2 linked regions of the Xenopus tropicalis genome follow. The protein of the gene in region 1 binds, or shares a complex with, the protein of each later gene. Links are inferred from orthologs where the notes say so. Each region holds a gene or a part of one and is shown on either strand. Other genes may lie near its edges.

The links.
Region 2: the proteins of ncaph2 (region 1) and ncapg2 are in contact, whole or in part, in a cryo-EM structure (PDB 9F5W), measured with the Homo sapiens proteins. The link is inferred for Xenopus tropicalis from reciprocal best matches to the Homo sapiens genes NCAPH2 and NCAPG2. Residues at the interface, in NP_689512.2 of Homo sapiens: Pro316, Trp317, Gln318, Ser319, Leu320, Pro322, Phe323, Asp324, Ser325, Leu326, Glu327, Ser328, Lys329, Pro330, Phe331, Lys332, Lys333, Gly334, Arg335, Pro336, Tyr337, Ser338, Val339, Glu344, Gln360, Asp361, Phe362, Gln364, Trp365, Tyr366; in NP_001268861.1 of Homo sapiens: Lys248, Leu251, Gln252, His292, Ile294, His295, Leu296, Pro297, Arg299, Ser300, Val302, Lys340, Ala341, Arg342, Asn343, Ser344, Glu345, Val346, Pro388, Tyr389, Pro390, Arg393, Gly425, Glu426, Ala428, Phe429, Asp430, Thr431, Ser432, Arg437.

What each region holds. Positions count from the first base shown.
Region 1 is NC_030679.2:89,423,326-89,432,188, reverse strand, and holds the end of ncaph2 (condensin-2 complex subunit H2), read right to left. Parts: intron 6,827-8,863; coding exon 6,773-6,826; intron 5,427-6,772; coding exon 5,356-5,426; intron 4,227-5,355; coding exon 4,118-4,226; intron 3,831-4,117; coding exon 3,753-3,830; intron 3,511-3,752; coding exon 3,455-3,510; intron 2,607-3,454; coding exon 2,505-2,606; intron 2,348-2,504; coding exon 2,198-2,347; intron 1,289-2,197; coding exon 1,148-1,288; 3' UTR 296-1,147; downstream 1-295. UniProt on the Homo sapiens protein: Regulatory subunit of the condensin-2 complex, a complex that seems to provide chromosomes with an additional level of organization and rigidity and in establishing mitotic chromosome architecture.
Region 2 is NC_030682.2:18,471,747-18,480,609, reverse strand, and holds part of ncapg2 (condensin-2 complex subunit G2), read left to right. Parts: intron 1-1,653; coding exon 1,654-1,770; intron 1,771-2,179; coding exon 2,180-2,317; intron 2,318-3,186; coding exon 3,187-3,286; intron 3,287-4,534; coding exon 4,535-4,725; intron 4,726-5,492; coding exon 5,493-5,636; intron 5,637-6,502; coding exon 6,503-6,606; intron 6,607-7,977; coding exon 7,978-8,078; intron 8,079-8,791; coding exon 8,792-8,863. UniProt on the Homo sapiens protein: Regulatory subunit of the condensin-2 complex, a complex which establishes mitotic chromosome architecture and is involved in physical rigidity of the chromatid axis.

The sequences.
Region 1 (8,863 bases):
ATTGTGCAAAGGAAACCCTTTGCACCATCTGTTAACCCCTCCCCCCATGGCATGGGCCACTGACTTGCATGGGCCCCACTGTGGTCTCAGGGTCTGCACCCCCTATTGATATGCTATTGGTTGGCTTTCTAAAAACTTTATTCTATTTTTTTTAATAACCCAGCAATTGCTGATTCCCTAGCTTCACAAACATTTCACAAGCACTTGCTATATATGGATCACAATTTATGGATGTATATGTTGTATTTTAAAATCACTTTGCTCTTTCCTGCTAAACTCTAACAATAAAAAAAGGTATCTTTCATGTTGTATTTAATACCATGCACAAGAATGATGTCACTTTATATAATTTAATTTACAAAACTGACACATTATATGCAATGTATTTAATACAATATCCGGACAATTTGTACTACTATCTATAGCCTGAATACACGCTTACATGGAGCAGATATAGCGTAAACATCAGCAATTCCCCTTTCCCACTAAAATGGATTTGTTCTGTATTTTTTTTTTCCATCTGCTTACAAATATACAGACTTGCAGAATATCAAATAATCTTCAGTCCACTGATACATAATAATGCAGATTTTTATAGATATAAAAGCCAAAGACAAATAGGAATGCTGTACAAAGAAAACGGATAAAACAACATATGTACAGTACTCAGATCAAATAAAATAGTTACTTAAGGTGGCCCTGACTACATAGCTTTTCCACAGAGCACTTTGTGTATTAACCACAGTGGTACCAAAGCAGGAATTAGAATATCAATAAACACATTCAATGCAAAGGAGCATAATAGTAATTATACATACATTAGAATGCTTAGTCTAAATAATATGCGCCCTGTACAATAAAGTTGCCCCACCCACAGTCATGATTTGCATGATAATTAAGGAACTGTACAGGTTGGTGACTACAGCACGGTGGCATACTTCTGAGAAGACTAAAATTCTAGCTTAAAAATCAAATCCAAGGTCAGCATTTTTCTGCAGTGCCTTTCAGAACCCTGTGCTTGAAGAATACTGCAGCCACATGACCATGACTGGGTCACACAATGTCCACTGGCTGTGCACACCTGAGCGGTATATAGCAGGAGTACTTTAGCAGCTTACACTGCAAACACAAGGCTAAGAAGAGTCTGTCACTGCTGAGAGATGGATGGCGCTGTGTAGGTTTTAAACCTCTCGTGTGCTTTTTGCTGACTTAATAGGCGCAGTGCCATAGTATCCAAACCTTCGTGTAGGCCAGGTTTTTGTGAAACTTCTACAGTGTAATCATTAGCCTGGAGAGAAAACAAAAAATTAGGAAGTGAGGAGAAATTCTGGATGTACAAGAGGCTGCCAAAGAAAACATACATTCATTTGGACATGGAATGCATTAAACCGTTTCAAAGACTGGCCAGTAATAATTTGATAGGAGATTGACTACATATATTTATAAAACATTAGTTCTCCTCTTACAGTGGCCCACAAATCAGTCTGACCAATTTAAGGAGTCCATAGGGTATGACAAAATGCAACAAAACATGTGCCTAGGGCCTATCAAAGGGCTGAGGTTTTATCTGTTTAACCCAGGTTGACAAAACTGTCCAATACATTTCATTGCAGAACTACATCAACCCAGCATGATAAAGGACACAACATATACTATCTTACTAGAGATAAAAATATAAACAGATGCTTTTTGGGTAAACATGTTCTTCGGTATCAGACTTTCTCAAAATCCATCATTCCCATGGCGAGTCTGCACAGCGCTCACCCCTCTACTGCTCCTCCCTCCCTTAGGAATGTGTGATCTGGCCTACCAAGGGCTAGAGCTGCAACAGGAAGCTAAACTGGCACTAAATGACACTAAAATGGCAACTGCTATCTTATACAAACAGAGGGAGCTTCTAGTGCTCTTTACTCAGGTATGGTAAAGCTTTCTGCAGAATAAAGTGTTCTAGGTGGCACTAATTGCTACACAAATTTTCAGGCATACAGGATGGTTCATTTAGGGCCACTATGCCTTGCGAAATGTAAAAGAATCAAGAGATAAATGCATGTTTATTGTATTTTGTCATATTTCTCCAACCCTTTTTTATTTTAATAAAAAAACACCAGTTAATGGGCTGTAATAGTTTAACAAAACCAAACTCTTGATGACTTAGATACAATAGTGATCAATAAATCTATTGTAAGCTATTACTCACCAATTGAAGGGATGCCAGCATGTATCTGCACACCTCATAGGGTTCTTTGTCTGCCATGAGACTGGCAAATGAACGCCATTCTCCTACTTTACTGAATTGTGCAGTTAATCGGTCGCCATAATCATGAATGTCAAAAGCTCCACGTTCTTCCTAGAGGACAGGAAAATAATAGATTTTTTTTTTTTTTATGTATGATGCTGCTGGGAACAAACTGTAATTGTCAGGCCTGCAGCTGTAAAAACCTTTCCATTTAGATACCTAAACCTAATGCCATAATGTGACATATAGATAACAAAGTCTGACTTACCTGTTCCTGTAACTGTGGGCCCATTTTATCCTCCCACTCACGCACCCGCAATGAAAGTACAGTTTCCTGGGCATACTTCTGAGAATTTGCCATGAAGAGCTCCTGGAAAAAAAGTGACATGCAAATAAGGAGCAAGGAAGGATGATGAATTCTGAGAGCAGAAGGAAGGGGGAGAGAAGAGCAAACTGAGCAGGCTTGTACCCTGCCCTGAAAGATGTTTCTGAGAGCAGGAAATCTGACACAGAAGATCATGCATACATGAGATCTCAGAGCAGCAGTTCTGTGAGTGCTTATGGCTGTATGTACATAGACCCTTCTGATATAGCTTAGTTCATTTTTACCTTTCCTTCTTCCTTTAAAGCTTTTTTGCAAACAGAACCTGAGGGAAATGTGTTCCTTAAGGGTTAGTTTAGCTTTACGTTCAGTTTTAGTATGCTTCGCTCATATTTTATAGTTTTTTAAATAATTGCATTCCATTTCTGCCTCTTTCCAGCTATCAGAATAAAAAGCTATTTGTCTTACAGGGTCACTGATCCCGGCAACAAAAAAAAACTGTTGTCCTATGAGGTTACAGTTTTATTATGATTGTTATTTTCAAATACTTAACTTTTTGTTCAGGCCCTCTATTTATTTTTCAGTCTGTCATTCAAACCATTTTCTGATTTGTAGGTTAAATTCCAGATTGGAGTGCCGCTGAAAAAAAAGTTTACTCCCGCAGGAAATGTGCTCAGCTCTTCCAAGCTTAAAATTTTAATGCAAGCACCTAAAGAAAATATTATTTTCAATACCAAACAGCACAGGTGTTTTTGATGCTGTCTCTGCTAAGAACCCTGGTATGATGCCTACTGGCAGCCTTTGCTTTGACGTTTCCTACCTATATAGCTGTAATACTGTTTCAGCCCAGTGGGAGAAAATATTAAGCAAAGAAATAAGAACAGGAAAGTACTCACCACATTTCTTCTCACCAGCTCCTCGTAACTTAACTGATCATGGAGAGTTACAGGCTCTACACCAAAACAGACTCAAGGTCAGGAAAGGAGCTATGCATACTGTAACTCCAAGTTATACAGCACATCTTCAGTTACCAATATATAACTATTTAAACTTTCATATCAAATGAAAATTAAAAATATAGATATAGAGTAATCTCAGAGAAAATATTTGGGCACCTAATAAGACATTACAAAGACCTGGTGAACTACAGCCCCAATAATATTTCATAACAGTAAAAAAGAAAGAATGTACTACCTATATCCCCAAGGGCAGGCTCCTCACGTAAACAGGCTGGAATATTCTCTCCCAAATCTTCATGGTCTGAAGCATCATCTAGATAAATATAATAAAAATAGTAATTTATTCATAATGTAGATATACATTGTAGTCCCTAACTCTCTGACTACGCAGGTCATAATCATTCATGTTAAAAGGGTTAAGGGCGCAACAACCAGGTGGCAGTGATGTAATAAACAGATTGCATTTTAAGTTATTTACTATTAACTCTTACATGTTTGAGTTTGATTCAATGCTTTTTTTTCCCCCCAAAAACCCTTTCCAACCTTCCGTTTTATAAGGAAGTCATAATTCAGTTAAAGATCACTACAAACCATACATACCTGCAGGACCATCATAATCCAAATAATCTGCATCACGAGGCTCCTCCAAAGGATTAACTAGCTCTTCCTCTTGATTCAACAAAGTAACCTCTTTCACAAACTGTGCACCCTGCATGAAATTTGTGTACGTTACAAAAGAAAAAAAAACAACAGTACTAACAGAACCAAGTTGACAGCTGGCCCTCTACATGTACCGGATAAAATCATACAAATAATGCTTACGTTCAGAATTTGAAGAGGCCCTGTTAGAGAAACATTTTTGCAAATTATCTTTTTTAATTAAAATGTGTAGTTTTGAAGTTAAAGACCAGTATCAGCACTGTTAAGACTCTCTTTGCTCTCTCCTTTTTCCTAGAAAGGGATTGGCAACACCTGTACAAGACAGAAACTTTACAGGGAACTGGTTCTGCACATGCCTTCCCTCTCCTGCTTCATTTGCATTTCATTGATCCGACTGGCTGAATCTTGCCAGCTAAGGGCTCTGGCACACCGGGAGATTAGTCGCCCGCGACAAAACTCCCTGGTCGCGGGCAACTAATCTCCCCGAGTTGCCTTCACCTGCCATCCCACCGGCGAAAATGCAAGTCGCCGGTGGGATGGCACACGGCGGCGCGATTTCGCGCAAATCGCCGAAAAAGCCTCGCGAGGCAACTTCAGCGATTTTCATATGCAAATGAAACAGGAGAGGGAAGGCATGTGCAGAACCAGTTCAATGTGGCCTGAGAAATCCCCTAGAGAGAGCAGATTGTAACAGTGTTGATCCTGGTCTGTAGCTTCAAACTACACATTTTGAATAATAAAGGTGATTTGCAAACATATTTTTTCTGACAGGGGCTGTCCATATTTACACTATTGTCTTTTAACAGAAGTAAGACTCCCATATGGGGTAAACCTTAACATGGCAAGTTGGCATTGCAGCTTCATAATTACTAACTTGTAACTACATAACCTGTTTTTGCATATTTAATCACTTGCAAACATGAACTAAAAGTAAATCATGGGGCAACAGGGTAACTATTAATCACATTCCCTAGTTTTATCGTACAGCCATGACTTGGTGGAATGGCTAGGAGAATTTGGCTTCAGATCAAAGAAAAGTAGCCTAGGGATACAGTTTGGATCTTTACAGAATAGTGCTCTCTTAAGCTGTAGAGATGAATATAGTTACGACATCATAACAGAATCAGCTACACAGCACAAAAATGGAAAAAAAATCTGCCCCATAACCACTCCTTTACCATCCTCCTGTGAAGCTGCCTTTGTGCAGTCATTCGCTCCTTTATGTGCTTCCAGTACAACACTTCCATGTCTGGGAAAAAAAAGAAAACACAGGATTAGTTCCAATGAATGTAAAGGAAAAATTATGAATGAAAAAAAAAATGGATTAACCAGAGCTGGTATATATAAATTTATAATTCACAAATTCACTGATCCAGAGGATGGATAAGAATTAAACCCACCATTTACAGCTTCTATACATAACCAGGCTTTTTCAATCACATAAAAGGGACCACATAACACAACAGTGAGTCTGCCTTGAGGGCATTTAAAATGTGCTTCTGTACGGTCACAGTGCTGTCAGTAAGTCATGCAGCTTATGTATACAGCCAGTTCAAAAATTCAAGCAGTTACAATGTTTTACAGCACCTCAGAGAGGAAAAGTATAAAATGAAAAAGGAGACAAACTGAAATAAAAGAAGCAACAACTGCTGGTATTGCAGGCGCATCGATTTCTCAATGACATAGACAGAAATCTCCTGTTTTATGGCAGGGATCCTAGATACAGACACAGTAGAGTAACTGCAAGGTCAATAATCCTTATCTAAAGGATACTGCAAACATAACTAGGAGGGGAGGACCGAAAATTTTTTTATTTAGGGCAATTGTGCATGGGTCAATTCTGAATGTTATGCAGTAGCTAAAGGGGCATCACCTAATAGCTCGTCAGTGTCTATGACAATTGCATGAAAGTACTAGTGCAAGCACTTGTCAGGTGATGGTTGCTTAAATGCTAGGCACATGGCAGGAACTACTTTCCATTTGAACTATTAAAAATCGCGGATGACAAATCACCCTTTGTGCTGAGGCCCTACGAGATACATCATAATATACATTATACATTGGTAAAATGTACAAAATTTGAACTTTTTATGCACCATACATTAAAGTTTACTGTAAAACATTTAAACATTAAATGAAGCCAGCAGGAGCTTTCTGCATACCTGCACAATTTAATTTTTATTAAATATTTAATGTGAGTAAAAAAAAAATGCACTGACTGCTAATATTTCCTATCTCTCTGAAGCAAAACTACATAATCCTTCACAAAGATTTATCATAAATAACTAAAGTCAAAAATTAATTTCCTATAAGTACTCTCATCAAAATGTCTATGAAGATTCTTATTCATCCAGGTCATGATATACAGTATCTAGTAGAATTAAGTCCAAAACAACTGGACTTTTCTGAAACGTGAATCTCAGAAAAGTCCAGTTGTTTTAGACTTAATTCTACTGTACACTCATCAAAATTTCAGCTTTTGTGTTTAGCTCTCTGGTACTATAAAGGAACATTATGATAAAGTGCTGGATGCTGTTTGGCCTTTTGTTAAAGTTCATACCACACACTTTAGAATCCTGATTTGCTTATATTTACCTGCAAATGTTGGCCCTTTCCTTCGCAATTTCATGGCTTCTGAACCATCCCAATCTGTAAATAACACATAACATGAGAATGGTAGATTTGGGGGTCATTCTCTGACCCAAGATGGATCACACAGCTATTAATATTACAGATTGGTACAGATTATCTGATAAGGACCTGTCAAAAAACTTTAGGCAATACGATTTTTTACCTATGGACAAAATTTTATGGTCAGACCTTAAGCTCAATTTGTTTAAAATAAAAATGTATTATTGAAATCAATCAATAAACTGCTTGTGTAAGTTATATACCTCCATTGCCATGAAGTGCTTTGAGCGTATAGTCAAGGCTCACATCACATCTTTACTCCCTGCTTCACTTGATCCGCTCCAGTTTGCCTACAGGTCAAATAGATCTACAGACCATGCCATAGCAACTGCACTTCACACTGCCCTCTCCCACCTGGACCAAAGAAATACATACGTGTGGATGCTGTTCATTGACTATAGCTCCGCTTTCAACACCACCATACCATCCAGATTTGTCATGAAACTCCGTGACCTGAACATCGGTTCCTCCCTGTGCAGCTGGATCCTGGACTTACTGACAAACAGACCTCAGGTGGTTCGGACCGGCAACATCACCTTATCTAAACTGACACTTGGCATTGGTCTCCCCAGGGATGTGTGCTCAGCCCCCTGCTGTACACCCTGTTCACCCAATACTGTACAGCAACACACAGCTCCAATACTATCATCAAATTTGCAGACGACACCACCATCATCAGCTGCATTTCTAATGGAGATGAATCGGCATACAGGGCAGAGGTGAGAGCCCTGACATCTTGGTGCCGTGACAACAACCTGCTGCTCAACGTCAGCAAAACTAAGGAGCTCACTGTGGATTACAGGAGACTGCAGGTAGGAGGCCATACCCCCATTCATATTGAGGGAGCAGAGGTGGAGAGAGTCAGCTGCTTCAGATGCCTGGGCATCAATATCAGTGAGGATCTGAGTTGGTCTCACCACGTTGGTGTGATCACAAAAGCTGCAAGACAGCGGCTCTTCTTTCTGCGGCGCCTGAGGAGGTTCGGGATGGACTCCAGAATACTCACAAACTTCTATCGATGCTCCATCGAGAGTATTCTGTCTGGCTGTATCACCACCTGGTATGGCAGCTGTAATGCTTTGGAGCGCAAAGCTCTGCAGAGGGTGGTGAGATCAGCACAGCGCATCACCAGAAGTGAACTGCTGGCCATGCAGGACCTGTACAGACAGCGCTGTAGGAGGAAGATGCAGCGGATCCTCTCTGACCCCAGCCACAGACTTTTCATGCTCCTACCATCAGGCAGGCGGTACAGGAGCATCCAGACCGCACCAGCAGATACAGAGACAGTTTCTACCCACAAGCCATCAGGCTTCTGAACTGCTGACATTCTGCACACACCAACACACACACTCCCCATAACGACTGGACTTTTCATAATGTCACTTTAAGCAATGCCACTTTAAATTCTTTAAATCCTCACTGCACAATCTCAAATACTTCATTGCATTTTTTATTGTAAATACTTGTACCTTTATTGCACACTTTTATTATATTAAATATTTGTTTTTTTTTGTTTTTTTTTGTCTATGTAAAGTTTGGGGGAAAATGGGCCAAAAGAATTTCACTACGGTAATGATGCTTCATTGTTATTTGTATATGTCAATAAAACTGGAAACTTGAAAATTAAAAAAAATATACCGAAGTGTAATTAGGTCTCCGGGGAATCGTTTTAGCCCCGACTAAAATGGTTTGGCCAGCACGAAATTGAAACTTTTGGATTTCTATATAAATTAATGACACATTAATGACACTTTGTTGCTTACAGTACATAAGTAGACCTATTGGGTGTTATAAAGATGATTTATAGTTAAAACACAAAATATGCTTCAGGAAAACAAATGATCCTTTTCTAACAAATGTCATTTAATCACAAATTGCACACCTACCATATCCCCAAATAACTTTGCAATAACTTGTTCGATATGTGCAGAATGTGTGTTTTCCTTTCCCTTTACTACAATCCTGCTTACTTTCCCACCCCTTCTTTTTTGTTTG
Region 2 (8,863 bases), on another chromosome or scaffold:
AATTCTGATCCTATTGTTCATTTAGACTTTTTATAAGGGCCCATGTAACACATGTGACTTTCTGTAATTTGTAAGTCATAAGACTTGTGTGTTGTATGAATATATAGTTATAAGGAGTTAATCGATTTTTATGTATGCTATGTTATTTCTCCTTTAACGTTAGCAGTTTGTTCTATTTCTGTATTGCTCTGTCCTCAGTCGTGTCCCAGGCTGCTAAATCTGGCATTGGTAATGTCATCATTAACTCTGATTTATGTCCAATACAGAGAGCACCTTATCATATTCCTGGATGTGACCGAAATCCTAATTAGAAGAATATTCTGAGAGTCAGTGTTCTAAAATCACTCGGTTATGTCACCTTACAGCATTCACAGATTCTCTGCCAGAAAGGAAAACTGCCTTTGTCACATCCAAATAGAGCAGGAATTCTTGGGGAGAAAAGAATAAGGGACTAAAACTTTTTGGCTGTATAACATATTAAAGAAAAAGTGCGCTTTAATGAGTAGTTGACCTTCAATTAACTTATAGTAGACATTCTGACACTATTTGCAGTTGGTCTTCATTTTTAAATTATCTTGTTGCTATGGTCCAATTTACCCTAGTAACCAGGCAGTGGTTTAAATGATAGACTGGAAGATGAATAGGAGAATTGTAGCTTCAAATATCAAGAGTTTATTGGCTGCCAGGGTTAGTGACCCCAATTGGAAAGCGGGAAAATTATTCAAAAACTGTTAAAAAATTTAAAAAAAAAAATATATATATATATATATAATATATATAAAAGCAATTAAAAAGTTTCTAAGAAACACAACTGAAATATCTCCACTGCACTTACCTTACACCCCAAAGGCTGCACAAAAGGCATCCAGACATAGGACAAGAATGTCCCAGATGCCACCACTCCCCGGCTGATTTCCTACATATGGTGTGGAGTTGCCCACGGGCACAACGCTTCTGGGGGAAAGTAGCGGACACTATAAGGGACAGAACAAGCCTAATACTCCGGCTAGACCCAATAGTAATACTGCTAAATCAGGTAGAGGATCTATCACCCAAAAGGGCTGAAAGAACACTGCTCCTTATACTATGCATGTACGCAATAAAAACAATTGCTCTATACTGGAAATCACTTGAGGGCCCCAGAGTTGCATCGTGGGAATCCATGATTAACAAAGCTATACCCTTATACAAGTTAACATACATAAGGAGGGAGTGCCCTCTAAAATTTGATAAAATATGGTCAACGTGGTTAGATGCAGAACCCCCCTAAGACTTGCAGGTTGGGGAAGGCCCCACTCCCAAACTCCCCCTGAACAGCCCCCACACCTCACGCAAAAGTGTAACACCAACACCTCAATCATGCCCTGGGTGGTATGCAAATAGCCGCGAAGTAAAGGTTAACTTACGTACAGCATATGCATTAGTAAAGTCACTGCAATGTTCTTATTGTTATGTTGTTAATTTATTTTATTTACTTTCTGTACAATAAGCAAATGACAATGGAAAGAATATACTGCAAACTATGTACATTTAAACTTAATAAAAGAATTGTTAAAGTGAATTGTTCATACAGGAAACAATAGAATGATAATTACGTTTAATAAACATAGATAATGATTATGTTCCCTGCCTTTTAACTGCTAACTGTATTAGGAGGTGCTGTTCTGCTACATGAAGCCATCCGAAGCAGTGACACATAATATCAACCAAGATACAGCATTAAGAGCCTTCAGCCTGTACTGCAGACTCAGCATCCACCTGCAACATAAGGTAAATATGAGCATTATACACTAATTATACACCAATCCATCGCTTACCTTTCAGTGGTCAGAACTGAAAAAAGTGTCCCACTTGCTTCCGACGCAACTCTTTTACAGATTGTGGTGGATAGTTGCATCTTTAGATGGATGGGGTAGGTGCAAATACAACAACTGAGCTTAAAGTTTGGCAAAATAATAGTAAGCCTTCATAGATTCATCTTGATTTGAAACCGCCGCCGGACTTGTACATCAGTGTCTTATGTTATGCGTATTTATGTAACAGTAAATAAGCCTGCGTGTGTTCCAAAATGTACTTGTACAACGTTCTGTAGAAACCCCTTTCCATCATTATGACCAGGCATTGCAAACATCTAGGGGAACTGCCAGTAAAGCAGTAAAGCTCTGTTTGTGTTTAACAGTTTAGCTCTGAAGGAAGAACATATTTGTCTTTGCTGGAAGACACAGGAGGGTGGATCGAGAGCCAAGTCCTTCCAACTCTAGAAAGTAATGGAGACCTCTCCGAGGAGTCATGTAATATGTGCCATCAGATCCTCAAGGTAATATCACTTTTCGTGTTTGAAGGTTTGGATGTGGCAGGCCACAGTGATAAATGTTTCTGTATTTATTTGATTACTGTACTTTAAAAAATGTTTCTATGATATGTTTGAGGGAGGACCAGAAAAAAATGGTGTAAAATCCGGGAAAATGTAAAAAGTAGGGAAATCTGTTATGCTTTATATGGGGCCACAAAACTGTGTAAAAAGTTATCATGTTAAAGATGGGTTGTCATCACTCTGGTACAGGGGGTACTCCAGTCAGGGGCCCCTTGGCAGGGAGAACCCAAAGAAATGCAGCAGTCCAATTTGCAGGCTATGAAGGGTGTGGGGCTTGGGGGTAAGTAGGAAGAGTCTGGGTGGAATGTGGGTGTGTTATGTGTGTAATTAGCATGGTTAGGGTTATATCTGATTCATAGCCCGGAGAACAACTTAGGCAATTGTTTTTTCTAATTTGAGCCCCATTCTATTAAGTTGGTGGGGTCCACCACTCGGGGGGTGACATGCTGCAAAAAAAAAAAAGTACCAGTAAGTTGTCAGTGTATCCTATTTCCATCCCATGGTATCTCATCGGATCTGAGCTTAGATTGGTTCAGGTTGGTTATAACAAATCTCAGAAATATGGAATTCACGAGCACAAAAACTTGAATTGCAAAAAATGATCATAAATCCAGTGGGAAAGTCAGCTTGCCTTAGCCTTAATAAACTCAAATCTCCAGTCTTGCACCTATAATATAATATAGCTGAACAAAACTGTGCAATTAAAACGCATTATGCCACACAGAAATCCTAATAGAGGTTCAGATGCCCATGGCAACTCCTTGTGACCTTGGATAAGGCCCCTAACATCTAATTCCTTTATCTGTATACAGGCCTATCTGACTGTTTGTAAAGACGTATTGATGGTTGGCCTCGCTGACTCGGAATTTCAAGCCCAGCTTCTTCAGATTACTCTTTCAGTGATACAGACTGGTAAGGGGAAAATCTCAGTGAGTAATGGAATTTTCTTGCAGTGATCCTTAATGTTAGTAAAGGGGGTGGCATTTTCAAGAGAACTGTTGTCCGCGGTTGTGCATTTTAACAGTGACAAACCGCTGCGTGTCTTTGCCCTTAGATATGGCGTACTGATGCACAGGGCAGCTATCATAGCTTGAAAGTACAGAAATCAAGAAATTAAAGGTCCATCTCTGCAATGCTGTCCCCCCAAAGCTCTTTGGCAAACCTTCTTATGCCTGATCCCTTTCCCATTTCAGTCATGCTATATAGGCCTTCATTATTTCTTTTGTTATACTGATAAAAGCCTAACAGTGAATCCATGATAGCAGAGCAATGGTTATACATCTGTTTAAAATAATGAGGACATTTAGGGCCCCCTGTCACTAAATAACATTTTGCTGGGGTTGAAAGAGTTAAAGGGTAACTACAGCTTCTCAACCAAAATTTGTTAAAGAGCCCCAGACAACACAGAAACCTTTAATATATCAATGATTGTAATCTGTATGAATAAATACCATTTTACTGTATATGCTGAAATCCAGCTGCAAAACAGTTCTTCCCTATGTGCATCATTTGAAATCCTGGCAGGGGAGAAGGGACTAAAACATTGATGTTGCAGATTGCAACAACTTTTCCATAGCTTGCAGACAGCATGCAGGAACTACATAACCCACAATGCTTTGCACTGTGATGTTTCTTTCCTTATTGACATCACGTGTGCAGGGAATTGTGGGATTGGGAGGATGCAGGCTGAAGGCAGGCTGAGGACAGGCGACTACTGTTATATTTTATTTGAGTCACAAAGTAGCCAGCCAGATCAGCAGGGGAACAGGGGGCAGGGCTTAGGGAACTGTTCAAAACCATATTATTGCATTAAAAATCATGAAAAGGCTGCATATTTTTTAATTCAGGGGTGGACAAGACGTCGATCGTGGTCCACCAGTAGATCCCCCGTGGATTTCTTGTGGACCGTGACGAAGCATCATGTACCTATGCTGTGTCTTGAAAGAAGGAGTCATCGGTCGATTGCCGATGGAAAAAGTCTGGCCACCCCTGTTTTAATTGATGTGATTTACAAAGTTGCTTGAAATCCATGTTTTCTTTTCAAAAAGTTCAAGTTGTGTTTGGGTGGAGTTCCCCTTTAACGAAACAGATTTATTGATTGTTCTTCTAAATGGAATATGCTGTTGATATGATTAAGTTTCTGTTTTTTTTCTCTTCCAGAGAAGTGCCATGATTGTTTGCCAATGCTGTTCTCTGTGCTGAAGGAAATCACAGAACTGTGTTTGGCTCACAAGATGAGCGACGCCAGCGTGGAATGCGACGAGATGCTCGATGCCATCCAGAGAGTATTCCATAAGTCTTTGGAGACTGTCGCACGCGGGCTTAGAAAACAGAGGGAAGAGGCACTACCGGTATTGATTGGCACAGTATACATCAACTGTATCAGTGACACCGTTTAGCCAGCTTATTAGTGATCTGAAATCTGTAAACAACTGCAGTGTTACAAACTCACTCCATGTCAAAGCAGCTTGCATAGAAGTTACTGGCAATGAAAGGGTTAGCAAGCGAGGCCTATCATACAAGATAGCATTTGTGTATAGCAAGTACAGCTTAAGAGAGCTAACAAGTCAGAATTAATGGCAAGGATCCAGAACGATAAGGGAGAAGATTTCTGCCCAATAGAGTTTGCAGTCTAACTGTATTCTAGATGGCATTTACACACACCAAAAGCAGATTAGAGTTTTTATTAGCTCGAATTTAATAGGCCCAATGACCTGTATGTGCTGAAATGCCCTGCAGTCCCTGGATGTGCAATTAAAGGAAAGGTGACCAAATAAACGTTGGGTGGATTTGCCCTTTTCATATTTCTGCCTGCAAACTGAAATAAAATGTAATTCTAAACAACTTTCCAATATAAATTAGACAATTTAAAGGGATACTGTCATGATTTTTATGGTGTCTCTCAATTTGGGAACATAGCAGACCAGGATTGTAGCTGATAATTATAGATAAATTATAAATACATTATAGGGAAGTTGCACGCTATTTGCATGTGAGGAAAGGGCAGTATGAAAGTCCTAAATAATGAATTTTGTAGATTGATCTCTCTGGTTCAGTAGTTTTAATGCTGTTCTTAAATCCACCCTATGGTTTTGTTCCATGTGTTTATCCTTTGCAGCTTCTGCAAGCTATTCAGCCTTCTCTAGGAGAGTTTGTTCACACAGTTCAGTGCTGGCACACCGCTTCCAAGGTGGTACATCGAGGGATGCTTTCCACGCTGTTGGCTGCAGTGGTTGTTGAAATAAGCCACTCACTGCGCAAAGTAGGTTTTATGGTACTTGCATGCCTGTTTGAACTATAACACTCCAAATCAAATATTTCCTTTATTGGCTGCAAATAGTTCTTCCTTTCTGCTTGCACATTTAGCCAATCTGCAGGAATCTAATATAATATATGTCTTCAATAGATGTCTATGGATGCTAGTGCATCACAGCAATGAGAAATTGCTTTACAGTGCAGGTTGTCAGTCCAACTAAGAATGGGATTTAAGCTAATGGCACACCTTGTGGAAGCCAGTACTTGCCCAATACTTTGTGTCCCTCCTGCTGTTTGCTGGCACGTGCTTGTCAATGCGTACACATGGCTAATTTTTTTCCAGAAATTGCATAATTTAGCATTTTCAAGCCAACATTTTTTATTCAGCGATGGACAGAGAAAAGTAAGGATCCATCAGATGTGCCCTTAGCCTTACAGGCCTAATGGTCAAGGGCTTTGCTGTCATGGAGTCTATAAATGATACTGTGCATCTGTTAGAGATTGAAATGTAACATTAAGTTATCAGAATTTTGGATGATGCACTTGTTATGATGCTGCCATATATCTGTTCGTTTGCTAATGCCAACCTTGCTACCAGTGTTTAAAGTGCTGTTGTATACAGATGGAGCATTCTTTATGTTTGCATGTCCCACCGTATCATTTATAGATTTTTATTATTCTCTTTTTCCCCTCGAAGTCAGTGTTGCGACCACTGCCCTATCTAAATCGCTACATTTTAAAACCAAGTTTGTTTCATCCATAGACACCGCATGTAGTTTGCTCCAGCCTCCAATGCATGGCTCTATTACCGTAATAGTATCTATAGCTTGGTTATAACTGCACTGATCACTTACTTTCCAATTTTCTCCCTAGATTACAGATTTAAGTGAACTAACGCCACCCACATCTATTTCTGATCTGCCTCCGCTTTCAAAATGTATAATGACAATTATCGTTAAATCTCCAAGTGCTGTAAGGTGAGTGACTTGCAGTGATTTCCTTCCTGTGCTAAAGAAAACGACTTAAAGGACGAGGAAAGGTGAAATCACTGGGGAGTGCCAAAAATTAGGCACCACCCAGTGATTGGAATCATTTCCCTGAATAGCCCTGTTAGTAGAAAACTGCCCTGGCCTGGGATTCTTCTCATCGAGCACCATGGAGCGATTTTCTTCTTCCACTTCATTTTTCTAATATTTGGCACCCCCTAAGCTTTAGTTTCTTTCACAAGCAAATTCACCTGTGATACACTAATAACCCACTGCCTTTTTATAAGCTACTTAGTAACACTCGTAACAATGTATAAGCATAAGCTCTGGCTGTGGAAGTCCCTTACATGTATGTCGCAGGAGTCAGAGACTTCTAAGTTGTACACGTTATTTAAACTAGGGCTATAGGGGGTGATCCTACAGCTTCCCTTAGAGCAGGGTACCATACTGAGAGCTCTGAAGGGAGATGTGGGTTAAGGCTGACAAATATTTGGGCATCACCGATAACATCCCAGCTGATTCACTGACACAATATATGCCCTTGAATCAAGCAGTGTTGCTAACTGTAACCCATTTTCCTGCCTTGTGTTTGCATGTTCCCCTAGAGATGAGCAAGGGTCACTTCTAACGCTGATCTGTGTGATAGGTACCTTTTGCTAATTGGCCATAAATTGCATAGTTTATACCTTGCTGCTTCATTTAAAATGTCTGTTGTATTAGTCCCCAGTGTGAATGTGAAAGGCTCCATAGTTTGCTGGAAGCCAATAGTGTTTTGGCAAACTAAAGAACTTTCAACCACTGGTCTCCTACCGGCCAATTTCCAGGTATAGCTACCTCTATTGAGCAGGTAGTTCCTAATCATCTTTTCATAAAGTTCTGTTAAAATTGGAACTGGAAAACCACATTCAGATGATCAAAAAATGGACATGGTTCTCCTTTAAAGCTTTCCTGTCAGCATTCTGTTAAGTGTAAAATCTCTTCTGATTCTTGCAAGCAACATAATAAATGTACAGCTTAGTGTGGGAGTTAATAGCTGTAATTACTGCATGTAAAGGAAACCAGGCGCCTCGCTCCAACCAGCTTGTTGGAGCAGTCATAAAGTACATTTCTGATTGCAGTATGGTTACTCAGCTCAACCAAAAGCACAGTGGGAAACTTGCTGAGCTCCCAGAACATCACAGTGATATGTTCTATCCAACCTTATTTGCACAGTGTTAGCCAAGCAATGGGTTCAGGCACGGCGCCTTCACTGCACAGCCATTATCCATCATTCACATTCGCATCTGCAGAGTGAAAGCCATCATTGGGTAACAATAATCTCTTCATAATATAAATATATATTCTTTTTATCTCCCTACACAGTTCATTCTTGGATGAATTGACAGAATGCATCACATTAGAAGAAGTAGAAGGAATACTGAGCTTGTCCGCATCTTTGTATGTTGCTGTTGTCTGCAATAAAAGTAAGGAATGCAACGTGTTCCATATTGTTTGGCTGTTAATGTTAGCAATAAATGGATCCTCCGTTGCAAGCTTTCCAGTGAGCCAACAGTTTGGGGAGAAATGGGGCTGGAGGGACTTAAAAAGTAAATGATAAATATCAGAATGGTCAGAAGTAGATACAGGAACAGAGGCTTCATTAGAGAGACTAATGAGCAGGTGGGAGTTGCTGGACAGGGGGGTTATAGAGGAATGTTGGGAAGCGCAGCTTAGGGTGCCAGAGATAGGTGGGGAGAAGGTGGTGCTACAGGGAAGTACTATGCAAGCCATTTACAGAATGTCAGGAACTAGATCAGTGATTCCCAACCAGTGGTTCGTGAACAACATGTTGCTCCCCAGCCCCTTGGATGTTGCTCCCAGGGGCCTCAAAGCAGGTGCTCATTTTTGAATTTCTGGCTTGAAGACAAGTTTTGGTTGCATAAAAACCCAGTGTAAAGCCAAACAGAGACTTCTATAGGCTGCCAGTCCACATAGGGCTTACCAAATAGCCAATTATAGCTTTTATTTGCACCCCAGGATATATTTCCATGCTTGTGTTGCTCCCCAACACTTTTTGCATTTGAATGTGGCTCTTGGGTATAAAAGCTGGGAATCCCTGATCTAGATAAACAGATAACCTCTCTCTCTCCTTTGGATTTTAAGATTATTCCTAATGGTGATTATGCTTCTTTCTTAGGGAAACAAATACCCCCTGCAGTTAAGAATACTGCATCAGCAATTTATAGGAAACTGAAGAATTTCAGTGAGG